Linked DNA regions of Rattus norvegicus. The protein of the gene in region 1 purifies or fractionates together with the protein of each later gene. This does not show direct contact. Links are inferred from orthologs where the notes say so. Each region holds a gene or a part of one and is shown on either strand. Other genes may lie near its edges.

The links.
Region 2: the proteins of Eif3a (region 1) and Eif3b purify together in Homo sapiens (co-immunoprecipitation; 15 studies listed by BioGRID and IntAct, with this or other methods). This does not show direct contact. The link is inferred for Rattus norvegicus from reciprocal best matches to the Homo sapiens genes EIF3A and EIF3B.

Annotation. Positions count from the first base shown.
Region 1 is NC_086019.1:269,911,077-269,926,008, forward strand, and holds the start of Eif3a (eukaryotic translation initiation factor 3 subunit A), read right to left. Parts: upstream 7,950-14,932; 5' UTR 7,766-7,949; coding exon 7,717-7,765; intron 134-7,716; coding exon 1-133. UniProt on the Homo sapiens protein: RNA-binding component of the eukaryotic translation initiation factor 3 (eIF-3) complex, which is required for several steps in the initiation of protein synthesis.
Region 2 is NC_086030.1:19,304,783-19,319,614, reverse strand, and holds the end of Eif3b (eukaryotic translation initiation factor 3 subunit B), read left to right. Parts: intron 1-2,515; coding exon 2,516-2,588; intron 2,589-3,669; coding exon 3,670-3,792; intron 3,793-5,089; coding exon 5,090-5,168; intron 5,169-5,743; coding exon 5,744-5,882; intron 5,883-6,773; coding exon 6,774-6,899; intron 6,900-7,442; coding exon 7,443-7,520; intron 7,521-8,120; coding exon 8,121-8,229; intron 8,230-8,336; coding exon 8,337-8,440; 3' UTR 8,441-8,453; intron 8,454-8,820; 3' UTR 8,821-9,307; downstream 9,308-14,832. Other genes in the region: Kif19b (kinesin-like protein KIF19), read left to right, coding at 12,062-12,148, 12,829-12,909.

The DNA.
Region 1 (14,932 bases):
AGATCCACACATAGTTCCAAGTATTTCAGCATAATTGGCTCGTGTATCTTCTGCCATGTTCTGTGTTTCTTACTTTTCATAACATCATAAAGAACATCCAGGGCAGGCTGCTTTTTGCCAACCTCAAGAAATTCTGGGGGGGAGGGGAATCGAATTAAAATTAGCTGTACATATTATATAAACATCTAAATGACTGACCAAAGAAATTGACTCAATCGACAGGTAAAGGTCCTTGCTGCCAAGCCTGATTCTCTGAGTTTTATCTCTAGAACCCACATTAGCAGAACCCACTCTTAAAAATTGTCCCCTGGCTGCCACATGCACACAAAAGATTTTGTGCATGCCCCGTCACTTCCACAAATTAATGTAAAAGAACTTTAAAAATGCTTGCCTCTTTGCTGATTGCTTTAATTTGTTGACTTAGTTCCCAACTTTTTTTCTTTACATGTTTGGCTTCTAATAGCAATCCTATAATCACTCAATGTATAACGGTAACATGATCTGAAAATACTATATGTGGAAGAACTCAGTGATTTTAAAATTCCAGAAACTGAAATCATGGATGGGAGAATCTCCCATAGTATCTAAAAGTTCAAGTATGACTACATCTCATTTCTATAGCTGAATAAATTTCTGAATAAATTTTATTATATTATTTTATGAAGATAGATTGTCTACTTTAAGACCAGTTGACTACATTTAAATTTACTTCAGGACCTTGCATTCCATCCGTTCTCAAGGAATTTAGTAAAGTGTTAGAATTGGATAGTAAGTGCTCCTACTTTGCCAGTTGGTATCCATTCTCTAACATAGATATTTCCATACCTATGTTTCCATAAAACTTTTACAACCATCTATAAAATAGCTTGCTAAGATTTCGACTGGGATCACACTGAATACAGGTTTAGAGTTGGAAGTTATGACAGTCTATCCACCCCTAGTCATGTAATGGTCATGACAAACTAAATGAAAAGGGTTCATGGGTCTGGGAAAGATGGCTCAATTATCTGAGTCCTAGCTCCCTCACTCAAGTAGTTCAACTGCCTGTTAATGTTCAGTTCCGGGGGATACAATGCCTTCTCCTGGCCTCTTTCAACAATTCACACAGCATGTATGCACACACTTTTTCTTTTGAGTAGAAGGGTCAAACCATGGTCTCTCTATAGAAAACAACTCAAAAATAAACCTTTAACAGCTAAAAAGAGCTGCTGAACTTAGCATCACATACACCTTTAATCCTGGCACTCCAAAGGCAGAAGCAGAAGCTGAGGAAGGTAGATCCCTTAAGTTTGGAACCAACCTGGTCTACAGAGACTCAGGAGTCCTAGGGCTATACATGGAGACATGAGAAAGTTCATGGCGAAGTGTGATAAGTTTTGTTTTTTTTTTTTTCCCTCAGAGCTGGGGACTGAACCCAGGGCCTTGTGCTTGCTAGGCAAGTGCTCTACCACTGAGCTAAATCCCCAACCCCAATAAGTTTTTTAAACACTTATTAATTTTATCTTATGTGTATGTGTATGTTTTGTGCTCCAAAAATGTTTGGAACTAGGGTTACAGGGAGTGTGTCAGCTACCTAATTGTATACTAGGAACAGAACTACAGTCCTCTCCAAGAGCACCAAGTATTTTTAACTACTGAACCATGTACCTAGCTCCAGAAATGTATTTTTAAAATTAACTTTGCTGGTCGGTGGGTGGCACATGTCTTCAACCCATCATTCAGGAGCCATAGGCAAATGCATCTCTTAGTTCAATGCCAACCAAGATTAAAAGAATTTCAGGATAACTAGGGCTACAAAGAAAAATATTGACTTGAGAGAAAAATAAAACTAGTACTTTAAAAACAATTATCAAGAGAAATACTCATTAAGATTCAATGGTATAAATGTTTGTTTAAGTGTTCTCCTAAACTTTGGATTGACACATACTCCCTAACCAAATACTATTAGGAGTTGGCCTTTAAAGAAACAGCAGGATCAAAGAGTTCCACCTCTAAATGCAACAGGTAGCTTTTATACTAGATAATCTGATAGCTTCCTTTTTGTTCTCTCTTATCAGACAAGGGAACACTATTAATCTCCTCTGGATAACAGTAACAAGCCAGTCAGTTCTCTCCACATACGGATCCTGCTACCTTATCATGGATTTTTTTTTTAAAGCCATCAGAAATAAGAGAGATACATTCTTGGTTTTGATAAAGTACCCAGGATGTGCTACAGTAACACAAAGGACATTCTACAAAATGCAGGAGTACTTCTCAAATATGTGATGATGAAAGGAAAAAAAATAGAAAAGTCTGAGACACTGTGACAATGAAGACATGACAACTAAATGTGATGTGGTGTATGGATAGGATCCTAATGCCCAATAGGGAAACTGGAACACAGTCAACACAGGCAAATCTGTGAGTTGGAGGCTGGCTGGAGCTACTGAGTTCCAGGGCTACAAAATTAAGATCCTACCTCTACAAAAAAACAAAATAAATGAATAAATAACTTCAGTTGATGACTCCTTAGTTATAAAAGATGTAACAGATTGTAGATGTTCATTAATGGGAACTGGATATGATGAAAACTGTGCTATCTTTGAGAATGATTCTATGCAACTGAAACTTGCTCTATAAAATTTAAATTAAGGTTTTAAAAAATAAAAACTACAGGACAAAAAACGGTTGACTTTATGAGCTTGAAAGCATTGTGTGTAAATAACTAGATCTCCAAATCTAGCTGCCATATGTAGCAACTTTTCAAATTAGTCAACAGAAAAGACTCTAGATTAAAATGTTATCTTAAACTTGTAGTGGTTTATGCCTCTAATCTTAGCACCTGGAAAGCTGGGGAAAAAAAGCAAAAAATGCTAAATTTCACACAAACACAAAAAACTTTCACTTGGATATTTAAAACTTTTAAAGGAGTTAAGACACTAGTTTTGTTATCTCTCCCTTTTTTAATGTTTATTTTTCTCCTAAAGAATAATATTGGGGGCTGGAGAGATGGAACAATGGTTCAGAGCACTGACAGCTGAATTCAATTCCCAGCAACCACATGGCAGCTTACAACCATCTATAATGGGATCCAATGTCTTCTGGTACACCTCAAGACAACTAAAGTGTACTCGTATGCATAAAATTAATCTTTAAAAAGGGGCCAGAGATAGTGGCCCACACCTTTATCTAGTAGGTAGGCTCAGGCAAATGACCTGAGTGTCAAGTTAGCCAGCCTAGACTACGAAATAAAATCATCACCACCACCCTCTAAAAAGATAATCTTGAACAATTTTTTTTCTTTTCCTGAATAAAGTTGAATTGAGTGGAGAAGCTCTACCTTTAAACAAGCATGTTAGTACCCTTGGGTTGAATCCCAGTACCATTTTTTTTTTAAATGAACAGAATTGAGGCTAGAGAGGTGGCCAAGAGCACTTAATCCTCTTTTAGAGAACCCCAAGCTCTATCCCCACCACCCACATTGTGTCTCATCACCATCCCAGGACTGATACCCTCTCTCTTCTGATCTCTGTGGACACCAGACACACATGATGCATTAACACACACACAGACAAAACACTCATACACATAAAGGCCTATAAAAGTTTATTATTTAGAAGCTTACTAAACTTACAGGCTTAATGACTCTAGTTTCAGGAATGGTGCGTCCCAGTTCTTCCAGTGAAACAATATTGCTCTAATTCTCCCACATACTATGTTTATACTTGATCAAATCACATACCAAACTAATAACCAAAAACCATAGCATACTAAACATACCATATTAAACATCTTTACAAAACATCCCGACTTCATCCTATGGTTTTTCCTCCAGTGCTGGAGACCAAACCTAGGGGCTTGTCTCCAGTGTACCAGATCAAGACACAACCCTAGCCCTACTCCTTATATCAAATATGCAAACCAATACAAACACCTCCATGTTATATGTGGGGAAAGACCATCTTCACTTGGGCCACCCGGCCACCCCTGAAAACTAACACCAATCCTAAATGACACAAGGAAGTACAACTATATTGAAACAAAAATATCTTCCTGTTTTAAGTACTACCCTCTTCCTGGAAATGTGCCAAGGGTTGTTTTCCATGTTATTTAGACATTTTTCAAAACAATTTAACCCAAAAGTCCCTACAACAACAACAACAACAAAAAAAAAAAAAAAAGAAAATCAGTAAATACTGTAACAGCTAGATAGCTTAGCAATTTAGAACACTGGCTACTCTTCAAGGACCTGGGTTCTATTCCCAGCACCTACATGGAAGTTTACATCAATAACTCCTGAATCCCGATTCGGTATTTCCTGACACCCTCTTCTGACCTCCAAGAGAGCACTACTTGCATATAGTAATAGACATACATGCAAGCGAAGCACTCATACCATAGAAATTAAAAGAAAACTTGTAACGGCAACATTAAAATGACATTATACCTAATCCCTAACTTTACAATAAGGATTTAAACTTTAAGCTATTAGTGTTTACAATATGAAATACAAATCAAGTTTAAGTTCAGTACTAACCCCATGATAAAATTAAAATGCAAAACACTGGAAATATAAGAATAATCCACTTTCCCAATGTGTAATTTTTTAAATAGATATAAGGTGTCTTTACTTCTAAAAAAATACATTTTTTGTTTTTTACTTTATGTGTATCAGAGCTTTGCTTCCATGTATAACTCTGACAGCCTTTGGTTGTCAGAAGAGGATGGATCCCCTTTCAACTGGAGTTACAACTGATTTTAAGCAACTGTGTGTACTGGCAACCAAACCCAGGTTCTGCCCACAAGTGTGATTTCTTCCTGTCACTTTTAAATTCTTGCTTAGAAATTTGATGTTGTAGAATCAAATCTCTATCATTTGCACTGAAGGAGGTTGAAGTAATAAGATCAAATTTGAGAACAATCTGGGCTACCTAATAAGGCTCTGCCTCAAAAAAAAAAAAGTACAAAAACAAATAAACGTTTTATGACAGAATTAAAGAGTCATTTTCTTAATGATAGGTTCAAGTCCAAGCCCAGAAATCTAGCTTTTAAAGTTTCAAATAAGGAAAAAGACGCTCACTTGAATATAAAACATCTGCTTGGTGTGATGAAGCGATGAAGCATGCCTTTCACCTCAGCATGAGTTTTAGGGCACAGAGCAGCTGAGGACCCCCCCCACACACACACACACACACTCTCCTTAAAATCCCCCACCCACTAAGAAAAGTAAGGGGAGGGAAAATATAAACAACGAACTGAAATTCGAACAAACTCTTCATGATGATCCATGGCTGTGACTCGTCCTTACTCTTACAACTGAGACTGAGGTCCTTGAAATTACCTAATTAATATTGTGGGAAGGCTTTTGCAGCTAGAAGGAATTATTTCAACACTTAGTTGATTTCAAGATTTCAAGTGTCTATAAACCAAAATCCAGAATTATATGTATTATTAGAATAGGCACTCTGCATTTATCTTTAGGATTTGACTGAAACCATGTATCTACCAATAAAGAAAAGACTCACATCAATCCTTCATTTTTCACCAATTCCTGCAACAGATTAAGTATCTAAGCTATAATGTTACTACTTAGTTGTGGGGTTTCATAATATCAGTTTTACTTTTTTTTTTTTCTTTTTTTTCCGGAGCTGGGGACCGAACCCAGGGCCTTGTGCTTGCTAGGCAAGTGCTCTACCACTGAGCTAAATCCCCAACCCCTCAATTTTACTTTTTAAGGCTGAAGTTGTAGAGTGTAAGGGTAAAAGGCTTTGACATTTTCCCACCCCCTAATTACAGCTTAGAGTGACTTGAAGGGCTATTTATTAAAATAATGCAATAGATTAGGTCTAAATATCCCTGGGGCTACAAATGCTACAGATAAAACGTTTAGGTAAACAGATTTCTGAGGAGTGAAAACCCATTTTATCATCTACTTGTTTTATAAACAGCACCATGTGAGATAAGACAATCTGCTCCTGTCAAGTTCCTTGGAAGCTAAGGTATTACTCCTTAATATTCTGGCAACTGTAATGGGGCTGCACCAAGAAGTCACTACAGGTCTTAGGTAAAATGCACCAACAAGACCTAAGTTAGCCACACTGTACCACAAAGTACTACCCTACTTTGCTGATACTTTCCCCAGATTACTCATCATTAAGCAAGTCAACTTAGAAACTGTGAAAAGGAATTTAGAACACATTATGTAACCTTTCTGCTTTAAAAAGTTATTGAAATATTAACCAAGTTCACATGAAGATTCCAAACAGGAGAGAAAAATAGGGTCAGCATGTTACTATGTATGTATGTAGGCCAAAGACTGTAGTGCTTTAGCTAGACTACTATGGGGAAAATGACTGCTGCTGAATGTTACAGCTTAAACATATATAATAGCTATACTTAGTATGTCTGTCCAATTCCATTTTCAACACCACAACGTGATTCTAAGTTTCAAAACATCAAAAAGTCCTAAATTAGCTACAGTTCTAATTTCAATAATAAATTAGTGCTAGCAGTATTAGGTTATCCACGGTGCATTATTATTCTATTCCAGATTGCCTCCACAAAATAAAAAATATAAGTATGCAGCCAACACATCTTTATTCCTGACAAATTATCAGCAGTATTCTTTTGTAAGTTTTGACTCAAATGGCCTTTTCATAAAATGTGGCTTCCACTTCTAGTAATCTTGCCAAACACAAAACCGGCAACATAAATGGTTTATGTTTGGACTGGAGGAGTTAAAAGGGACACAGATACATAATTATCAGGTTTTATTTTAAAAAACAAAAAGCAGTTTTTAAAGGTCAGATCAGATATATGCACACGACTTTTCCACCACAATATCAGAGATCCGGGCAAGTCTTTCCTGCAAGTGCCAGGCTTAATTAAGCACACGTATGGAAATAGAAATAGCACTCAGTGGCACTGCGGTGGAAGGAAAAAAAGACAGAAGAGAAAAAGGGGGAAAAAAAAAAAACCCGAACTGGATATCGAGAGACCTTGATCTTAAGTTTCCTGACACTTCCAAGTGACCTTGGGGGAAACCACTCTTTCTGGAGCTTGTCTGGGGAGGATCATTTTTAAATCCCTAAAGAATATTAACTTTTAATGATTCGAAATACTTTCGAAATGACCCTTATCGAATCGTGGGGAGGGAAACACCACACAGGAAACAAGTTAATGGAGTAGAGGCCTGAAGTGCAAACTAGTAGTGAGGCAAGTAGACCCTGACCCAGAAGGCCTCCGCGTGGGATCTGGAGCCAGACGTGCCGGAGAGGTGGGGTGGAGGTAGACTAGCCGGGCTCCCGACCCCGGCGGGAGGTGGAGCTGAGGTTCTCGCGTGCATTGTCCCCGGGAGGGAGCCATGTTTCCTCCTCCCGGCACTCCCAGATGGCGGCAGGGAGCGCGGGGCTTCCCAAGCAGTCCACGGTCTGAAAGGCCAGCAGGAGGCCGATCGTGGCTAAGAATCGCAAGATCAGAGAGATCTGACCCGCGGGCCGTGGCCCTCCGACGCAAGCCTTGGGCCGCAGCCAGTGGACACACACGGGAGCGACGGTTCCTGATCCGCGCTTTCCGCCGCGGCCCGCTTGAGTAGGGAGGCCGTGTGAGACATGGCCGGGTGGCGGCGGCCGTGACCACTGGCCTCCACAGCCCGGGTGCGGGCAGCAGGAGGGGGCCCTCGAACTCCCAGGCCTCGGGCCAGCCCTGCGCGGCGCGACCCGCTGCCTTACTCACCGTTGGCGCGCTTGAGGGCATTTTCCGGCCTCTGGAAATAGGCCGGCATCTTGGCGGTACGCTCAGTTCACCCGGCGTCAGCGAACTCCCTAGTGGCCTGGACCGGGAGAGGAGGCGGAGGGGAACTAGCGCGAGCTTCCACGCGCCTCGCCAGCAGTCGCCCGCGCCCAGCCGGCCAGAGACGGAAAGGAAGGAGCCACGTGATTCCCTCGCGGCGGCAGCGCCGCCGCCCGAGCCCCGGATGTAAGAGGCAGGCCTTTGCGCATGCTCCGCCTTTCTCTGCGCGCAGGCGTGCTGGCGTCGCGAGCGTGAGCTGACGTGGCGATGGGTGCCGGGCAGCGAGAACAGTTGTGTTCTTTGGGTCGCGGGAGGGAACCCCAAGAAGTTTTCTCCGGCCACCACTGCTCCAGCGGACATAGGGTGGGAAAGGAAAATCTGCGGTCAGATCTGCGACTAAAAAAGGCAGTGTCTACAACAGTCATTCCCAAAATGACGTGCGCAGAATCTGGCCGCGTTAAGGTCGCAACGGCTGTGCGGAGACATCGCCTGGAAAGGTTCAAAATACTTAACGGAAGTGCTGAGCCGGTATCGCTGTCCAGTGGTGTTCGTTGCTAAGAAATAGGGCACCAGTCGCTTAACTGACAAGGAAGGGGAGGGAACAAGCAAATAATAAACAGAGTTATTTGGTATCCTTGTAGGGTTAGCGTCTCAAGGATTCCTGAAAGAAGACGAGCAGGGGCAGAGCCACCTCCTTTGAGTAGAAGACCCAGGAACACAGATAGAACCGTCTTGTATAGTGTTTGAAAATACGCGAGTGTCATCGATTTTTACATACAACTCACGTCACAAATACAAGAAATGCGTGTTGGTGAGGAAATGGCTTACTGCAAGCCATGTCTTTTATTGCTACCTAACAAATTTAGTGTTCATAGATTAATTACTATGCTTAGAGCTTGAAAGCCATTTAAAACCGCGTCGAATTCTGAGGCTCTTGGTAGGAAATTAACTTGAGTTCAGGGCTGCAGATGTAAAGTGGCTGAGCGCTCCTCTATCACGCACAGGCCCATAATCCCTGGCACCACACAAAGGTTCAGAGAAAATTCAGAAGGAAATGAATAAATTATTGCAAGTTCATTATATATTTTACAATAATATGGGATATGTAAATTAGTGAGATAGTGTATCAATGAATGAGGAAACCTTAAAAAGAAAAGTAAAACCTTAAGCTCAGTGGGAACCCACACCTTTCATCCCAGCACTCAGGAGGCAGAGAGAGGCAGATCCCTGTGAGTTCGAGGTCAGCCTGGTCTATAGAGTGAGTTCTACACAGAGAAACCCTTTCTCGGAAAAACAAATTAAAACTATTTTTAAGCTATTTAAAGGTCTGAAGAGATACTAATCTTGCAGAGCACTTTAGTTCAGCTCTCAGCACCCACGTTAGGTTGCTCATAACCACCTCTAATTCTAGTTCCGTGCGTATCTATCATCTCTGGCTTCCCCAACACTTACATTCACATGAACATACCCAAAGACACAGACACATTAAAAACAAAGAATACTTTAAAGTTGATTTCAAGAGTTCTTCCTCCAGAATACTTAGACCATGCTAAATGCACGAACTTTCACCTCCAAAAGCAAGTACCAGACAGGACTGATGTAAAAGAACATCTAGTGTTACAAGCTTTAGCAACTGTTTTATGGGCATGATCAAGGGACTTCTTTGTGTATATTATAATTAAGTCAAATTTTAAAAGTCAAACATAAAGAGCAAATGGTTCCTTCTTGAAGTTTTTAATTACATAATAGGCTAAAGAAAGATGCAAACAGTAAAATCAAAAGAAACTTGGTCTAAATATCAGAAAAGGCTTTCTACACATTCTCGATTCCTTTATTACATCAGAAAATAGTAAAAATAGGAGCTGAAAAAATGGCTTAGCAGTTAAGAGTACTTTCTGTTCCTGAAGAGGATCCATGTTTGATTCTAAGCTTCCATAAGGTGGTTTATAATCATCCATAACTTCAGTTCTAGGGTATCTGACACTTTCTGACCTCTACAAGCAACAAGTGCACAAACATTCAAAAGGCAAAATAGTCATAAAAGTAAAATGGGTTCAGCATTACCTATGTAGTAGGCCCACAGTCAGATAAGCACTAGAAAATTAAAAAAATGAAGTGAAATGAAATATCTCTCATACTGATAATTTTCCCTTCATGTTATTTAAAGCATAAGAATCATTGGTGATGTAATAGCCAATGATCATGTAAGTGCATTAAAAAGAATGAGACAAATTAATTGTATACAGTGGCTGGTATCTGGTCCAAGCCACTCAAAGCCTAAGACAGAAAGATCACTAGAACCTCGGAGTTCAAGCCAGCTGAGCAATAAACAAGACACCATCTCCAACAATTACTTAGAGTCTGGTACTCTTTGTTAATGAAAGTAATAATGTTGATTACCAGGGGTAAATACATTCCACCAACAGGTTTTTGGTACCAGTTAGCAGCCATAATGTTGAGTGTTAGAGATGTTAAGATTCTCAATGCTTGGGGTTGGGGATTTAGCTCAGTGGTAGAGCGCTTGCCTAGCAAGCGGAAGGCCCTGGGTTCGGTCCCCAGCTCCGAAAAAAAAAGAAAAAAGAAAAAAAAAAGATTCTCAATGCTTCCTTTCAAAGAATTAATGATTCCCTGATAAAAATAGATGTTTATACAATGAAAATCAAGATAGGATCTAGTTGGACCAAGAGAAAAGCATAATTATCTGCTGATTAATGCTCATTTATCAGAAAACAACCATTCAGGCCTGGTAAAGGTTGAAGGATTTTTTTTCCTTCTCAAGTTACTTCTTGTACTTCCTGTGATAGTTTCTCAAATACAATGCAGGGGGTTTTTTGAGAGGGGGTTGGTTTTTCTCTTGTTTTACTTTTGAGATAGATCTCACTGGGCAATGAAAACATTCCAAACTGGCCTAGAATTTTCAATTCCCCCACCTTAGCCTGAAGTGTGCTCAAACAACAGGCATGAACCAACATGCCTAACATCACATTTATCATTTTATTTTCAAAAATATAACAATATTCTTATAAGCTTACAGACTATCATTCAGAGTAATGCACTCATTCAACAAATCTTTATCAAGTGTGTACCATGTGCCAAGCATAACAAATATACATTTCTGATAGGTGTGAGGGTTACAACAGTAAATAAAATAGTCTAACTTCCTAATTTGGTAGAGTCCTAGGAAGAAGCTGTACTTTATTCACCATAATCTCCATGAAGACAGACACCACTGCAGAGCAGATTCTCCTATCTGCTCCAGGCCCACATACTGTATCTTTCAGTGCCCTAAAAGGCCCTGCCCATCTCCTGCATCACATCACTTCACTAGGAACCAGTCATTCCATTTTATTTTATCTTATCTTATTTTATTTTATTTTTGAAACAGTCTCACTATGTAGTCTGGCTGGCCAGAAACAAGAGGTCCACCTGTCCCTGCCTCCTAAATTCTGAAATTAATGACTCCTACCCACCTAACCCTACCCTTGCCTCATTCCTTGTTTTTTTTTTTAAGATTTATTTATCTATTATACATAAGTACACTGTAGCTGTCTTCAGACACACCAGAAAAGGGCTTCAGATCCCATTACAGATGGTTGTGAGCCACCATGTGGTTGCTGGGATTTGAACTCAGCACCTCTGGAAGAGCAGTCAGTGCTCTTAACCCCTGAGCCATCTCTTCAGCCCCCATTCCTTGCTTTTAAAACCAACCTTCTCATTCAGGTTTTGCTTAAATGTCACTTCCTTCAGAAATCTTCTTTGGCACCAGATAAGGTTAGATGCCAAAACTACTTTAAACATTAGCTGAGTATGATGGCATATGCCTTTAGTCCCAGCACTCAGGAGGCAGACTTGGGCATCTATGAGTTTCAGGACAGCCAGGAGTACAAAAAGAAAAGAAAAAAAATATATGTGTATATACATATATTTATAAATATGTAAATATAAATAAAACATGTCTTATCCTTTATCATACTTAAGAATGGATAAGGATGAAAATTTTCTATAGTTCACTGGTGTATATGAATGCTTGGCAAAGCAACAGTCAGATAGGCTGTTTACAAACTAATCATGGAGGATTAACAAATGAAAATCCACATCAATATTTAAATAAGACTTTCCAGTTCTATCTGTAGGGAAGAACAAGGTTAGAAGCCCAATATATGTCATCTTTAGTTCTTAGCACATATGTCCATCTACTTCCAGTTTCCCATATGCTTAAACACAAGAACACAAAAATAAATGAAAATACAGGGGACTGGGGATTTAGCTCAGCGGTAGAGCGCTTACCTAGGAAGCGCAAGGCCCTGGGTTCGGTCCCCAGCTCCGAAAAAAAAAAAGAACCAAAAAAAAAAAAAAAAGAAAGAAAAGAAAATACAGTTTTCTCTACAGAAAGCTCCTGGATACACCAGTTCTAAGCTAAGTTCAATTGTGATTTTTCTGAGTGTCCAAACATAGTGTACTTTCCTATACCCAATTATCAACCACTTAACACAATACTTCAGGCTCCACTCAAAGTGCTACCAAATCATTCTGCCTGACTCCCCGTGTTCTTGGCCCATAACCCCATTAAATTCCATCACAGGACCCATCGCTCTGGCCACCCTGCCCATCCTACAGCCCAGTGAAAGGGCTGGCTGCGTTCCTCCTTCAGTCTACTGCCCCCAGAGGGGAGATCAGACACCAACGACTGCTTCTCAGTAATGACTCTCAGAGCATTCTCTTTCCCTCCTCCCTGAACTCTGAACTTTGAAGCTCACTACTTTCAGATTAGTCCAAAGCTTCTTATGGGATTATTTAACCGAATGTGGTAGTTGCAAAATGTTAGGCAGCAGTGAAAGGTTCCTGAACACACACAGTCAAAAATTAATTTAAAATCGAATGCATAGTAAACCTGGGGCTGCTGGCAGAGCCAGCCCATGTTGCATCATACACCCTTGGTTCTGAACATGTGCACTTTGCACATTCTTTTATACCCAACCATGAAGAAAGCCTGGAAAACGCTAAAATTAGGGCAGAGAGTTGGCCCATCGGTTAAAAGCACTGGCTGCTCTCCATCAGACCTGGGTTTGATCCCCAGCACCCACTTGGAAGTTCACAGCCATCTATTCCTCAGAGCCGGGATCTGACAGCTTTTGACTTCTTGATGGAACTAGTCACACCAGTGGTACAACACATGAATTTCATGTGGGTGAAACACATGAAATTTTTAAATGAAAAAACATTTTTAAAAGATCCGAAGTTGGGCTGGAGAGATGGCTCAGTGGTTAAGAGCACTGACTGCTCTTCCAGAGGTCCTGAGTTCAATTCCCAGAAACCACATGGTGGCTCACAACCATCTGTAATGGGATCTGATGCCCTCTTCCGGTGTGTCTGAAGACAGTGGCACTGTACTTACATACATAAAATAAATACATCTTTAAAAAAACCTGAAATTAATATTTATACAAGAAGTTTTACTTATTCATATAGGAAGTTTGCTACTCTTAAAAAACTAATAGTTTAATTACAAAAATGAAGGCTTTTAGTATTTCCTACCATCATTCCTCAGCATATATCAAATTAGTCTATCTTTAGATTGTATTGTGTTAGACAAACAAGCATATCAACCTCAGTATGCAAATTTGCTTTAATCTTTAATAAAGTGTTGAATCTATATACATACCAAAAATTGTTTTAAAGATCTTAATGATTTATCAGTTTAATTTTTATACTTATTTTATGTACTTTGAACCATGTAAAAGTTTCTCAAATGAAAGGGATCAAAAGTGGTAAAAGTTTAAGAAATCCCTCACTAGACTACCTGATAATCCTCCAAGTTACAACCCGAAACATGTATGAATCCCAGACAATGCCTTTCACCCCCAGTCTGGGGACATGTGAAGAAGACATTTAATAGAATTTGAGCCCAATCTTTGAACATGTTAGGCAAGTCCTCCAGAACTGAATTATATCCTCATCCCTCTTGATTTTTTGAGACAGAGTTTCTCTGTGTCACCCTAAACTGTCCTGGAACTCACTTTGTAGACCAGGCTGGCCTCAAACTCATGGAGATCCACCTCCCTTTCCTCCAGAATGCTGGGAGTAAAGGCATGCACCACCATGCCCAGGATCCCAACCCTCTTTTTACCTTTTGTTTTACGATAGGGTCTTCCTAAATTGCTTAGACAGAGTCTTGAACTTGCAGTCTTCTTACACCAGCTTCCTAGGTAGCTAGGATTACAGGCTGGGTTGAACTTGCTAGGGGCTAGCAAGATGGATCAGCAGGTAAAGGCTCTGTGTACAAGCCTAATCTGAGTTCAATAGACAGAACCCAAGTAACAGTGGAAGGAGAGAAACAACTCCTGTATACTGATGTCTGCACCCACACAGTAGCTTATGATAATTTAGAATTTTCATTCCTTCAAGTCTGTATCTCTAAACTAGAGAGATATGTGTGGTATATCTACAATCACAGCTACTTGAAAAGCTGAGTCAGGATTATGAGTTCAGGTCCATCTGGGCAATATAATCAAATTCTGTCTCCAAAGAACTCTGCTTCCATTTTGCTACCCCTCATCCTCTATTTCCTCCTCCTTTCCCAACTTAGATTCTCTCATTGTTGGTGATATATATATATTTTTTTCTTTTCCAACTCCTCTCACTTTATTATCACCTAAAAAACTGCAGGTCAAATCTGACCCCATACTTCTTCCTGCAACCAGAATTGGCTAGAAAAAAATATGCAGCCATGGAAACACCTCAAATCCCAAACCAGAACCCTTACAACCCCTTAGCTATTCTTTTGAGCTTCTCTAAGTCACTGCCCATTTTTCCAGCCCAGTATCTCCCACCCTGTTCCCTGCTGTGCCATTTAGCAGGTTGGCCTCTTCTGTCTGGAACCCAGCTGCCTTAGTGTTGCACAACCTCCACCCTTCCCTGCTATCTGGCTAAAACCACCCTGCATTCAAACACTTGCTCCCTCACACAGACTTGACCACTTATCCTGAGAGTGTTAGCTTCCAGAACTTGGGAGCATTTTCTCCATATTGGCTTCCAGGACCTGATTTGCACCCCACCTTGGGGCTACCACTCACCTCTCTTTGACATCTGAAATTGAACTACCCCAGGGCTTAGACCTTGAACCTCATTCTCTGATCAGGTCTCATTTTCCTTGTTTCTA
Region 2 (14,832 bases), on another chromosome or scaffold:
ATTTTTGTTCCCAGTTTTATAAGCACAGAATGGGTTTAAAAACCCAGCATACCCCAGCTCCGTAAAAAAGAAAAAAAAAAAAAACAGCATGAACTGATCATCATAATTGCATGTATGTCTGTTTGTGCAGTGCTCTTGGGGGCCAGAAAAGGGCATTAGCTCCCTTGGACCTGGAGTTAGACAGTGGTGGGCTGCCATGTGAGTGCTGGGAATTGAGCCCAGGTTTTCTAGAGCAGCCAGTGCTCCTCTCTGTCCAGACCCTGTGCAAGTTAAACCTTGGCCTAATTTTTGGTTCTGTGCAATGTTTTTCAGAGTTGATGGATGTTTTTGAACATTTAATTGTCAGTGCTGAGAATGTCACCTAAATCAGTAGTATACAGCAAAGGGCAGATGTAGTGTTTAGAGCAGTTTCCAAATTTTGTAGAATTAATCGGACTTTTTTTTTTTTTTAAATTCAAGTCAGCAACTCAAACAGGACAATATTTCAAAACAAATACTCTACCACAATATAATTCAGAGACCCTACTAATTTTTTTTTTTTTTTTTTGGTTCTTTTTTTTGGAGCTGGGGATCGAACCCAGAGCCTTGCGCTTCCTAGGCAAGCGCTCTATCACTGAGCTAAATCCCCAATCCGAGACCCTACTAATTTAATAATGCTGAAGAATGATGAAAAATAATAGTTAAACCATTAAGGTTTTTTTTTGTTTTTTTGGTTTTTTTTGGTAAGAAATAAATTTTAAGTACAGTAGAGACAACACAGTTGTAACTTGTAACAGTGTGAGTCTGAGCTTGAGGCAGCCTCAGCCTGACGGCACTCTAGACCACAGCTGCTGGGAAGTTCGTGGTGCCTCAGTGTGGGCAAGCACTGCCAAACGCAAGACTGCTATGTGTTTGAGATTCTGGGTGTGGGTGTGGAATTCTAATTCATGGTTTTTGAGAGGCTGTGAGCTATGTCTAGATAATGATGTGAGACTCTCAATCTGGACATAGCACTTTACTAGAACTTGGAGGACTTTCAATCCTGTCTTCTTACCGCCTTAAGGGTTGATCACTTCATGTAGTTCTGAGCTCACGGGAAAATACAGTAGTGTCATCCTCAGATTCTCAGCCACTCATACTAGAAGCTGAAAGGGATAGATTGCTTTCCTGGTAATCAGGTGGACTTCACATTTCTGCATACAAATGTGCTTCTGTTTATGTAATTTTATGTTTTTCTCATCCAAAAAACAGTGTCTAGGGATGGTGTGCATGACTTTAACCCTAGCACTCAGGAGGCAGAGGCAGTCAGATCTCCAAGTTTAAGACCAATTTGGTTTGTATAGCAAATTCCAGACTATCCAGGAATACACAGTGACACCCAAGCTTTTCCTTTTCTAAAAGGATTTATTTATAAATGAGTACACTGTAGCTGTCTTCAGACACCAGAAGAGGGCATTGGATCCCATTACAGATGGTTGTGAGACACCATGTGGTTGTGGGAATTGAACTCAGGACCTCTGGAAGAGCAGTCAGCACTCTTGACTGCTGACGGGTCTTGACTCTGACAGGGTCTTGGCCTTTGGTTCTGGGTATTCTTGAACTCAGTGATTCTCTTGCTTTAGCCTCGAGTGCTGTATCACAGGCACGCACTACCAAGCCTGTCCCAACTAATTGTTCTCAAGATGTAATTCATATACCAAAATGCTTTTAAGTGGCGAGCCGTCTCCCTGACTTTGGATATGTTTAGTAGGTCACACAGGCATGCTAAGCTGCCTCTCCTTTCCACACTGCTCCTTGGTCCACCCTTCTATTTTTTGTCCCTATGCCGGTGTCATTCAGACAACCCCCTGATTGCTGGTCAAATGTTCTATTGAGCTATGCCTCCATCCTTCTCCTCTCCTCACTCCCGACAGCCTCTGGTTTGCTTTCTCTGGGTGTCTCTGTTAGGAACATTCCCCTGCAGCCTGTGACCCTTCGTGTCCAGCCTCTCTGACCTCACCTTTTTTCTTCTTCTTTTTTTTTTTTTATTTTTTTTTTTTTTGGTTCTTTTTTTTTTTTTTCAGAGCTGGGGACCAAACCCAGGGTCTTGCGCTTCCTAGGCAAGCGCTCTACCACTGAGCTAAATCCCCAGCCCCAGACCTCACCTTTTTTTATATTGTAGCATGCATCAGCATTTCATTCTATTCTTTTTCATAGTTGACTGGTATTCCAGCACACACATGCATCCACATGTTAGTGGGCTGGCATTAAGGTGGGCGAGTAGTTACTGAGTCTGCTGCTGGGTTTAGTGCTTTTGAAGGTCATGGTGCAGGTTGCTCTACAGTGTGCAAATCCATCGTTCCCTCTGGTAAACTCCGGTAGATGTGCTGCAGAGTGTGCTTGGGCTATGCTGTCATACCAGCCTCGGCACCACATCAGGGTTGTGGGTGTGCTGGTGAGTGAGTGCTGTCTTCTGTCTGATCATTATTTGTACCCCCATATTTTCATGCCTTCACCTTCCAGAGAATTACCCTTCCTGTTTTGCTTTTGTCAACAGGGAGTTGTCACAAATTTTGAAATCTTCCGAATGAGGGAGAAGCAGGTTCCTGTTGACGTTGTTGAGATGAAAGGTAAGCAGGAAGGGCCGTCGTGCCCTTGTCTTGTACAGCTTCTATGTGAGATAGGTGTTCAGAGCGGCGTACTGAAGTGGGATCTCAGCAAGAGCAGCTACCCCAGATCACCCTGACCTAGGTTAGATCTGCACATAGGTTAGGTTGGCTAGCCACAGGACCCTCCTGCCTGCCTTCCTGCCCATTATAGGGCTACAGGGGCACACCATGCCTGGAGTTACCTTGAAGAGCTTCTTGCTGGTTGTATTTTTGTTTTTTTGTTTTTTGGTTTTTTTTTTTTTTGGAGCTGAGGACCGAACCCAGGGCCTTGCGCTTGCTAGGCAAGCGCTCTACCACTGAGCTAAATCCCCAACCCCTGCTGGTTGTATTTTTGACTGATTTTGTTTGTGTCTGAAATATATTCGTTCTATGCCCATCTGCTCTTGAACACCAATCTTTCTGCCTTGGCCTCTCGAGTATTGGAATTGTAAGCCTGTGCCACCAGGCTTGGCCTGCCTTCCCTTTTTCTCTCTGGAAAAAATAAAAGTATTTCTTTTTTAAGTGGGGTATTTTGAGACAGGATCTCACTATGTATTCTTTGGTACCTGGAATTCATAGAGATCCACCTGCCTTCACCTCCAAAGTGTTGGGATTAAAGGCAAGCACCACCACCGCCCAGCAACATAAAGGTTGATGTACTTTTACTCATATGTTAGTTCCATCCTTAGTCTTAGTGCCTGTGCCTCTCATTGGCTTTCAGTTTGTTTCACTATAGAAGACCACAGCTAAGTTGTTAAGTCCTTAAGTCAGTTAAGGAAAGACAGTTTGGTGGCACCTGCCTGTGATCATAGATTGCAGGAAGCCAGGGCTGGAACAGTCCAAGTTCTAGGCTGGCTTGGACTTGTTATTAACACAACATCCCAACCAGATAAACCAAGTGCTTTTGAACTCTGCTGACTTCTCTTTGCTTTTGCTGTCTTTTGATCTGTGGTCCTGCCAGTAGATTAGGAGTGCTTTTCTCCAATTGAATGAAGATCTTTGAAAATGGAGATTTTGTTATGAAAGATTAGGACAACTGACTCCTCTTTCCTGCTGGTTGTAGAGACCATCATAGCCTTTGCCTGGGAACCCAATGGCAGTAAGTTTGCTGTGCTTCATGGTGAGGCCCCTCGGATATCTGTCTCCTTCTACCACGTGAAGAGCAATGGGAAGATTGAACTCATCAGTGAGTAGTCTGCCCTTGGCCTCTCTCTGCAGAGCTCAGGGGCCGGGATTCTAGCTGTGCGGGAGATGATAGCAGGTTGGGATGACTCAGGACAGGGGGCACATACTTCATATCCACCGAGCCTGGAGTGAGTCAGTAAGTTGGGCCTTACTGCCCCTGCCCTTCAGCCTGGCTTAGCCCTTGAGTCCTCTGCTCGGCTCCGGCAGGAAGGGGTGTTCTCATTCCCTTTCCTGCAGCAGGGCTCACCTAAAAGACACTCCCCTTTGGCATGGGGGCCACGTGTGGCCTTGCTTAGACTCCCAAAGGGCTACTGCCTACTCTTCTTGTCTTTGTTGTGACAGCCCCACAGCAGGGTTAGGGCTTAGGGCAAGCTGAACCTAAACCCACAGTGTTGCCCTCACTGGGATGGAAATACAGGCTGTATTTCATAAGTTCTTTATAGGACACCAGCTACCCTGTTCCCTCTGCTGTAGCAGTCATACCATGGTTTCCTTGGACTTCTGTGAACAGTGTGCTTTCCCTTCACCTGGGTCTAACCATTTGTGACAGAATTAGCTAGTGTGTTGTAAAGTCCACTCTGGTGTTGGTTCTCTTGGATATGTAAGAGGTGGACAATTGCAGACAATCAAAAGGTTTCTGTCCCATTATAACAGACACCAGGAGACGTGTCATTTATCCCCCGGATCTCTGTGATTCAGCTCTCACCAGGGTCACAGTCAATGCTCCTCTGTGCTTTGGGGCCAGATGGGACATTTGTCCTGCAGCTCTCTGTGAATGTGAGACTCTCCCCTCCCCACCCCCCATATGGGAAGATGGCTGTTTTGCCAAGACTGAGAGAGGCTTTGGGTGACCTGGGTTATTGCCGCATTTGCTTTGTCAGTTTCACCCAGGGTCAGGGTGACTGGGAAGATGGTTTGCTTGATGTTCTGTAAGCACACTGAAAGATGGTGATTTTGGTAGCTTGGCCCATGGTGCTGTTGGTGGACACTAAGGGCTCCCGAGATGAGTCAGTGTATTTGCTGTCAGTGCAGTCTTTGCCTGTGAAGCTGAAAATAGTATCCACCAGACTTCTGTAATAGCCAGCAGCCACCACCCAGAAGCATGCATCATGACTTTAGGCATAACTGAACGGGGGCGGGGGTATGATTTTGAAATAGTTCTCCCAAAGTGGCTGGTGGGTTTGTGTTGGAGTCGTATGTGCACTCTGCTTCTGTCAGCTCTCCTCACCAGTGTGGCACTGTGTCTTAGCTGGAGAGGCACCGGCACAGTCCCTCACAGGAACTTATTTTCCTTGCAGAGATGTTTGACAAGCAGCAAGCCAATACCATCTTCTGGAGTCCCCAGGGGCAGTTCGTGGTACTGGCCGGGCTGAGGAGGTGGGTTGGGGCCCTGCCCGCTAAGGCAGCGTCCTGCTCCTGATGGTTTGTGTTGGTGGAGTGCATCATCTCACTAGATATTTATCACAGCCAAGCCTCTGGCCAAACCAGGCTGATTGAAGTAGTGACTTGCAGATGACATGTCCTCTGTGATCGTAGCCGTGCACCCCTCCTGTGAATCCCACGTCTTCCAGTGGGACAGATGCATAGCTGGAGGCTGTCCTGCCCTCTGGTTGGGGTGCCTTTCACTTGTTCCCCTGCATTCCAGCTGAGCACATAGGAGTAGTGAGCAAGTCCAGCCCTGCCCTCTGCTGGGAAGGACTACTGTGGCTTGCTCCCACCATGGACGCTTCCACACACAACATCTTCTCTAGACGCCACAGAGCACTGAGTACACCATTCATGTCCTTGGGAAATTTGTCACTGTGAGGGCGATAGGGCCCAGGGAACTAACTTCAGCCCAGCAGAGCCCTTGGTCCTTTCTCACCCTTGTAACTCAGTTGGAGTGAGGGGCATTGGACCTCTCAGTAGGGTGCAAGGGGATTGTGGGATACAGCTGCCCTGTCATCCCACAGCATGAATGGCGCCTTGGCGTTTGTCGACACTTCAGACTGCACCGTCATGAACATTGCAGAGCACTACATGGCCTCCGACGTCGAATGGGACCCAACTGGCCGCTATGTGGTTACCTCTGTGTCGTGGTGGAGCCATAAGGTAGACGATGGCAGGTGCTGGGCCCTTGGGGAATGAAGTCTCTCAGGGCCAGGGACAGATACTGTTTTCTGTAGGATTGTTGTATCCAGGGACCCCAGGGTGAGAGGGCATTACTCACGAACTTTTGTGGCTTAGGGAGACAGTTTGGTCCACTGTTTCTCAAACTCACTGCTGAGAGGCCAGCTGCTAGAGCATTGGGCATGTCTGCTTGGCAGGGCCTGCTGGAGCATGGGTCACTGCCTCCTGTGTTTACCATTGGGTGGACAATTGAGCCAGTCCATGCAAACAAAACCTGTGAGCTCAGAGGGCTCCAGCTGATGAGATGACCTCTTGCTTGCCAGATGGCTTTGAGTAGTATCTGGCATAGCACTCTCTGTGTTCGTTCATTCCAGGGTGTGCTGTCTGGAACCCATCCCAAGTGCCAGTGCAGCACAGCCCATCCCAACACTTGTTTAATTTAGCATCTTGTAGGACTGGGAATGTCAGTGCATAGCAGCTGCCTGGGTTCTACCCCAGCATCTCCCACCTCCATAAAAGGGGAGGGAAGGAAGTGAGAGTCTTCCAAGCCCGTGTGGGACTGGGCCATTTAGTTCACACAACTCCTAAAGAGCGGGTTGGCAGCAGGGAGCCCAGCGTTTGAGTCAGAGCTCAGTTAAGAGTCCTGCCAGGAAAGCTAAGCTGTAGTTGCTGCTGTTCTGATTGGCACTGCTGTAGAAGGTTCTGGTCATAGACCAGTGATCAGCAGGCCCCTGCAGGAGGGGCAGGGGTTGGTTCTGTCTCCATTGTGCTGTGTCTTGGGCAACCAGAGCACAGGTTGGTGCTGTGCTGCCAAGAGTAAAGGTCCTAGGGTGGCCTTGCACATTTTGCATGATGGGCCCCACTGCCCTCTAGGTGGACAATGCTTATTGGCTGTGGACCTTCCAAGGTCGTCTTCTCCAGAAGAACAACAAGGACCGCTTCTGCCAGCTGCTCTGGAGACCAAGGCCCCCAACACTCCTCAGTCAGGATCAGATAAAGGTCTGTGTTCCCTGCCTAGTTGGGGTAAGGGAACGGTTGTCCATCTATGACTGCACAGGGCAGTCAGTGGGGAGTGGAGGAGGTAGGCATGGAGAGGGCTCTGAGATGAGGACCAATGAGACCTGACCTGAAGCTGTGTCAGGTAAGGCAGTGCTTATAATCCCAGGAGGCTGAGGCAGGAGGATGGCGAGTTCTTTTCAGACTCTGGGGTCACTACAAGATGACCTTATCATGTCTTCCTTCCCTTCCCCCTCCCCACTTCTTCAGAAAACCCATGACAGTCAGTCTAAGCCAGACAGGCTGTGCACAAGTTCCAGTGGGATTGGGAGAGCTCAGAAGGGGTTATGTAATGGGATAGGCTTGTGGTGCTAGGTCAGAGCCGGGAGTGACTCAGCCTAGGAATCCTCTCCATGAGTGATCTGGGCATGCTGGTGCCCTGGGGCTGGTCCTGAAGGCTGTCGTCACTGCACATGGCATCTTTGTGACAGCAGTTGTGGATATTGCTTTGAAGGCTCAATCCTGAGAGACTTGTCTTGGTTTCAGCAAATTAAAAAGGATCTGAAGAAATACTCTAAGATCTTTGAGCAGAAGGATCGCTTGAGCCAGTCCAAAGCTTCAAAGGTGAGCCTAAGGGGGATGCCCATAGGAGCCCATCTCTATCTTACCCTGGACACTAGTCAGAAGGAGTGCCAGGAGCCTGGTCTGGCTTGTTCTCCCGCTGTGAAGGGTAACTAGCAACGGGGTCAGAGGCCATCACTGGTCCTTGGAACCAGCACCCACTAACACCGAGTAAAGGCTGGCTTTTCCTTGCTAGCAGCAGGAGGGATATGATTAGGAAGAGAAGGTCCCACTTAAGGGAGGCTCTCCAGAAGGGTTGTCTGGCACACAAGGCACTGACATCTTCTGCACTCACCAATGGGTGCTACATAGGGCAGGACCATTGTCATTGAGCAAGAATGTCCTGGATGGGGGCTGGAGAGATGACTCAGTGGTTAAGAGCACTGGCTGCTCTTCCAGAGGTTCTGAGTTCAACTCCCAGCAACCACATGGTGGCTCACAACCATCTATAATGTAATTTCCTGCCCTCTTCTGGTGTATAGGCATATATGCAGGTAGAGCACTGTGTACACAGTCTTTTTTAAAAAAAAAAACCAAAAACAAAACAAACAAAAAAACCCTAAGAATGTCCTGGTTAGCCCTACAACCTTCCCTACCTGACAGGAACTGGTGGAAAGAAGGCGGACCATGATGGAGGACTTCAGGCAATACCGAAAAATGGCCCAGGAACTCTATATGAAGCAGAAGAACGAGCGTCTAGAGCTACGGGGAGGTAACCAAGTTTCTGGGCTTGTCTGCAAATGGAGTGGTCCCCCCGAGGGCCCTGCAACCGGCTTTGCAGCCATGTCCCAGGGGTCAGTCAGTTGTCTATTCTCTCAGGGGTGGACACTGACGAGCTGGACAGCAACGTGGATGACTGGGAGGAAGAGACCATTGAGTTTTTTGTCACTGAAGAGGTCATTCCTCTGGGAAGTCAGGAGTGACCTCAGCACTGTGGTAAGACTTGGGAACATGAAGATGGGTTTGCTGATGAGTCTTTGACTGCTTGTCAGACCACAACAGAGAAGACACCCCAGGAAGATGGCGGTGCTGCCGCTAGTGGTTGTAGGAGCTTGGGGTGAAGCAGAGGCGGGCATGACCATCTCCAGATCAGGCACAGCACTGTCACCCATGTTGATATTGTTGGTACAGGCTACAGTACAGGAGTGAGTGTCTGTCTGCCTGCATGTGGTACTTAGTGCTGGGCTCCTTCAGGAACCAGGAGAGAGAATGAAGCCTCTCAAGGCCTGGAGTGTGCTCAGTAAAGAATCCAGCTGTGGTCCCTTGCTCTGTGTCTGACTAAATGCTGGTTCATCTGTTGCAGTGTCACTGTGCCGTGCCCAAGATCCAAGGCCACACTCTTCACAGAGAGCCTCGGGCTGGGTTCTCACCTGTGCTTTCGTGCTCTGGACTGCGAGTGCACCCAGGGTTCTTCCATCCCGACACAGCTCTGTGCCTTCAGCCCCGGGTCCTCAGCGGGGACACTCGAGCCTCTGCTCTCACAATGCCCTGTTTGGGTTTTTATCAGCCCTGTCTGCATTGGAGCCTCACTGCAGTGTTCCTGGTGGCTCCTTTAACTCCTGCTGCTGCCCATGGGGTTTCCAGAGCCTCCACTTCCAGCTCAGTGGGATTTCCATTCATGGACTTGCTGTTCCTGTGTGGGCCAGTGTCATGTGGCCATCAGGAAGTCTGCACACCCAACACTTACTGTGCCAGAAACTCTGGAGGCACCCAGCACCTCACAGCTGTTCAGGTTGTGGCAGGGCCTCTGCTCAAGTTGGATGTGGAAATAAAAGCAACCCTGTGTGAAACACTGTCCTGATCTCTCTGTAGCTCAAAGTGGCCTGGAGGCCTGCCCCTTCCCTCTCCCTAGGGTGAGGTGGGGGTATGTGTGCACTGCTCCTGGGTGGTTGTTGAGAGCCTGCGTGTCGGAACCTCGGGATACATTGGACAGGTTGGAAGGCGGGTACAGAGGGGGCCAGCCACTTGACGTGTATCTGTGAGGTTACCTAGTGTCCAGCAGAGAAGACAGCAGACAGGCGTAGGTGAGCTTCACCCAGCATGAGCTGTGTGTGTGCTGCTCTCCCTGCATTTCACAGGTGGCTCCCACCTGCCTCTGCACCTCTGGTGAGCAGAGAGCCACCCCGCAGGGCCTGCAGCCATCCCATGTCTGTAGAGCATGTACATCTAGCAGAGGACAGGCCATGCATATGGAGCAGACGACCAGATCAGTGGTCTCACGCTTCACTGGGAGGTGGCTCACCATTCCTCCCGTGTCTTGGGTTCTTTATTCCTTTGACCTCTCTGCAGTTAGATCATGGTTGCAGGCCTCTTCAGTTTACCCCACAGCGTTGGCCACCCCGTGTTCTTTAAACAGTCTTTTTTGTTTTTGTTTTTTTGTTTTTGTTTTTTTTTTAGTTTCATAGCTCTTCACTTTGAAACTTGATTGTGATTTGTTTTTGTGATTTGTTTCTGTGATTTGTAAGTAAAAGCAGTTGTGTGGTGCAGCTGGAATTTAGGGAGAGCTCCTGCCCCAGGACAACCGCTCAGTGCTTGGGAGGGTTTAGGAGAGCTACAGACTTAAACTCCGCCTTGGCTCCAGGATGGGTGGGGATGTACCTTTGGGCCCTAATCCCAGCCAATCTTTCTTGCCCTGTGTCGTCAGGCATTTCCTGGCTTCCAAGGTTGACCAAGGAGGAATGTAATCTAAGGAGAGGTCACTCTGGCCTTCCACAGCTGATCAGTTTGATTTCTGAGAGAGGGGTGGCTTGCTTCAGGGGAGCCTGGAACTTCTGTTTCCCATGACCCAAGTGTTGTTAGCCTGAGCTCTAGGCACAGTGCTCTCAGCCCAAGTCCTCATAGCATCAGTCTATAGCTTCCTTTTGTTCTTGTCAAGATTTGAGTTTCTCTTATGTAGGCTTGACTGTCCTGAACTTGCTTTGTAGACCAGGCCTTGAACTCAGGAGATCCTCTGGGATTAAAGGAATGTGCCACAGCCAGGCGCTGGCATGCAGGCCTTTATTCCAGTACTCAGGAGGCAAGTGGGTTTCTCAGTGTGAGGCCAGCCTGCTCTACAGTGAGTTCCAGGACAACAAGGGCTACACAGAGAAACCATGTTTGAGAAGATAAGGTGTCACTACTACCCAGCAACTTTTTTTTTCTAATGTGTGTGTCTTATACTTGTATGTCTGTGTACTACACTACATGTACAGTGGTCTATAGGCCAGAATTCCCTGGAACTAGAGTTAACAGACACTTGTTACCTGTTCTGTGGGTGCTGGGAATTGAACCTGGGTCCTATGGAAGAGCAGTCAGTACCTTTTTACCTGCTGAGCCCTCTCTCCAGCCCCTTTTTGTGATTTCTGCCAAAAGGCAGGACAGTGTTTAGAATGCCAAACAGTTTTTTGTTTGTTTGTTTTTTAATATTTTGGGTCTAGGCTGATCTCGCAGACTTCCTGAATGCAGGGCTTAAAGGTGCACATCACCACTACCCAGCTAAACATGACTCTTTCTAAAAAGTAGTTTTTACTTAATTTTGTGTGTGTTTTATTTGCATGCTATGCATGCTTGTAGAGGTCAGGGAAACCTGTAGGAAGGTTTTTCTGCTTGGTGTGCACCTAGAAGTTGAACTTAGATAACTAGACTTGTAAGCAAAGTGTCTTCCCCCGCTGAACCAGCTCCTGAGCCTGGCTCTTTGTTTTGTTTTTTTTTTTACATATTTTGTATGTGTGCTATATGCATATGGAGGCCAGAGGTCAACTTGTAGGAGTTGGTTCTCCTTCCACTGTGGATCCCAGGGCTGGAACTCAACATCTGGCTTCAGGGCAGGTACCTTTACCTGCTGAGCCATCCTACCATTCCCCAAGCCTGGTTCTTAATAGCTCCTGCCACCCCAGGTTACCTGCACGACATTGCTTGTGCAGTCTTCGCTGGGCTGGCACATTCACAGGGCAGGACTGTCCCCCGAGGGATCCTGTGGAGGAAGTAAAGCAGTAAGTCCACCAGATCATCCCAAAGCCCACACTGGGTGTGCAAATGGACACCAAAGGCCGGACGTGTCACCAGGAACTTGGTTATCTATGAAAGACCCTGGCAAGATCGCTGCCAGCTGAAATGGTCATGTTTGGCATCAGCTGCTGTTTAGTCTGCTCAGGTAGAGCGACAAACACACTGGCCTGCTGTTCTCAGGTGGCCCCTCTGGGTGAATCAGTGCTCTTGGGCTCCGCACTACAGGTTCTGTAGGGTGGGCTCGGCTCTAGCTCCTGTGGCATAAGGGAGCTTAGAGATAGGCTGAACAGAGTTCTTGTTAGATCCCTATTGTGGCCTCTCTGAGGTCTGCCTGGCTGCTTTCGGAGTACTCAAACCACAAGGGCTGCCCAGGCCAGAGACAGGAAGGGGTGACTCCAGGTTAATAGATGAGCTGAATGCTGGCCCAGCCCCACCTCTGGGGACCCAGCTGATGTCATCAGAGTGAGCCTGGGGAGCAGGGCAGGGCTGAGCTGGCAGGCTCTCCTTGCCTCCGATTCAGCTTGGTTAGCTGGGGGCCCCTAGTTCTGACTTGCAGGATGCCCTCCCAACAGACCACAGACCCCTCTCCTGCTCGGGGCAGCCCAACCCTGAGGGAGATGGAACCCAAGGACCAGCAGCTCATGGTGAGTCCCTTTTCTCATGGCCCTGCTAACCTCTCCAGCCTCTCCCAACCTCTCCACCCCTGAGGAGAAACCCCAAACCCATGCTCAGATCAGTCTTCCTAGCCTTTAAGGAACAGTGTTCCACTTCTGGTTCACCTTTTCCTTTCCTGGAACCCAGAGATACTATCCTACTTTCTCACTGTGGGACTCTAGACACCTGTACCCCCATTTCTGAACCTCTGTCTTCAGCCCAGGGTCTGAACTACAACCCCAGCCATGGGGCAGGCCTCATTCAGGCTCCTTGGACCCTCAACTCATAGAACCCAGCCGGCCACCTGTGACTGGTTAAGAGAAAACTGGCCTTGTGTCTTCTATGGTATCATCAAAGGATACTGTTACACAGAGGCTGGCAGAACTGAGGGACATGCAAAACACAGGCTCCCTTCCTGAATGCTCATAAAGGTGTTTCCTTTCTGATCACAGCTAACATGGGCATCTATGTGACCTTGGGCAAGTTGTTCCTCTGTGTTCCATGGGAGTGATGTCACCACTGAGTCCTCAGAGCCTCTCTAGGAGGCAGGAACAGCTCCGTGCAAGTCGAGTCTAGGGGGTGAATGAATGGGAGATGCTCACTGAGCACAGGCAAATGGGAAGTGGGAGTCTAGCTGAGGGTCTTGGTGCTGCCCGTGCCCTGTCCACAGGTGGCGCTTCGGATCCGCCCACTCAACAGTACAGAACTGGAGGAAGGAGCCACTGTCATCGCACACAAAGTTGGGGACCAGGTGAGGCTAGAGGCATTCTCTTAACAGAGGCACCTGGTGGCCAGGCGCTCTGTGTGTGTGTGTGTGTGTGTGTGTGTGTGTGTGTGTGTGTGTGTGTGTGTGTGTGTATGTGTGTGTGTTCCTTGGGTTTGACAGCAGGTAATTTTTCCCACTCCTGAGCCTTCCCACCAGTCCTGTTTGGTGTTTGAATGACTTCTTGGGGACCTGGGACTCATTGGTGATGTTAGGCAGGATAGACAGTGAATCCCAGGGATTTTCTTGCTTCTGCCCGCCTAAGCAGTGGGACTACAACCATGTGCCACCATGCCTAGCTCTTTGGGTGGGTTCAAACCCCTGTCCTCAATCTTGCATGGCAAGCACTTTACTAACTCGGCTTCTGCTTCTCTCCCCTCTCTCCTTTCGCCCCTCTCCCCTCTCCCTCCCTCCCCCCCTGTATATATGTGTATATCATATATATATATATATATATATATATATATATATATATATATATATATATATATCTTCTTTCAGTTTTTCTTTTGCGTCTCACTGTATACAGCCCAGGTTCACATAATACTTTACTATGTATCCCAGGCTAGCTAGTCTTGCACTTACAGCAATCCTCCTGCCTCAGCCTCCCAACTTTTTAACAGACAATGCATGAGAGCGAATTCTTTGGGAGTGAGGACACGGGGCAGTGGTAGGAGACTTGGCAGCAGAATTAGCATGCCAGGCCTGATTTCAGAAACTAGAGGACTGCTGGCTACAGGCTGGGGCTCAGGCTGCCGATGCCAAGGACTTTCAAAGGAAGACTCAGTGCTCACCTGTCCACACCTCAGAAGCCTTTGTTTGGCTGTCACTTAGACTCTCAAGCCAGGCTTTGTAAGACATACAGAATGTCCATCCCTGTCGGTCACTAGGGAGGTTAGTGCGGTGCTCTGTGAGAGGAGGCTCAGGCTAGGTGTTTATACTTGAGCTGACAACCCAAGCGGTGAATAGATAAAGATCCCTGCCAAAGGCTGCCCACTGGGGCTCAGAGTGCCCAGGAGAGGGGCCCATTGGCAGAGCTACCATTGGGGTGAGTCAGCACTGAGGTCACCGACTGCTAAACAGTGCACACCCGGTCCTAGGCACAACAATAAAGACACAAGTCAGCTGAGAATGAGGGCTGAGTAGCGAAGGCAGGGCCAGTGCTTCCTATGTGTGGATGCCTGACTGAGCAGTAGAGAAGGCAGTGTGAGGAGCTGGAGGGACAGCTTAGGAATTAAGAGCGCCAGCTGTTCTTCCAGAGAAGCACCCATGTGGTGTCTCACAGCCGTCTGTAAACTTCAGTACCAGGCAGGCGATTGGACACCCTCATAGTTTCTGTAGGCACTAGGCATGCATGTGGCATGCACACATACATGCAGGCAAAAGACTCATACACATAAAAACCTTCAAACATCAAGGCAAAGGGCTCTAGGGACAGCTCCATTAAGTATTTGCTGTGCATGCAATGAAGACCTGAATTGTAAGCCCAGCTCACAGGAAAAGCTGGGGGTAATGGCAACAATCTTAGCACTGGGGCAGTGGAGACAGGAGGGCCCTTGAGGTCCCATGGTTAGCTAAGCTAGCCAATTCTCATGAGCCCAGGAATCAGTGAGAGAACATGTTTTTAAAAAGAAAAAAGAGAGTGGAGGGTCTGGGTGTGCCTGCGCACATCTTAAATCTCAGCACTTAGGAGGCAGAGACAGGCAGATCTCTGTCTGAGACTTTGAGGCCAACCTGGATCTAGAGAATGGAGTTCCAGGATAGCCAGTGCTATATAGGGTAGCCCTGTCTCAAGAAAGCAAAGAACAATAACAACAAAAGATGGAGAACGTTGAGAAGATGCCAGCCTCTGGCCTTGAGTGCATACACAAGCATGCATACACACAAAATTAAGGTGAAATTAACACCACA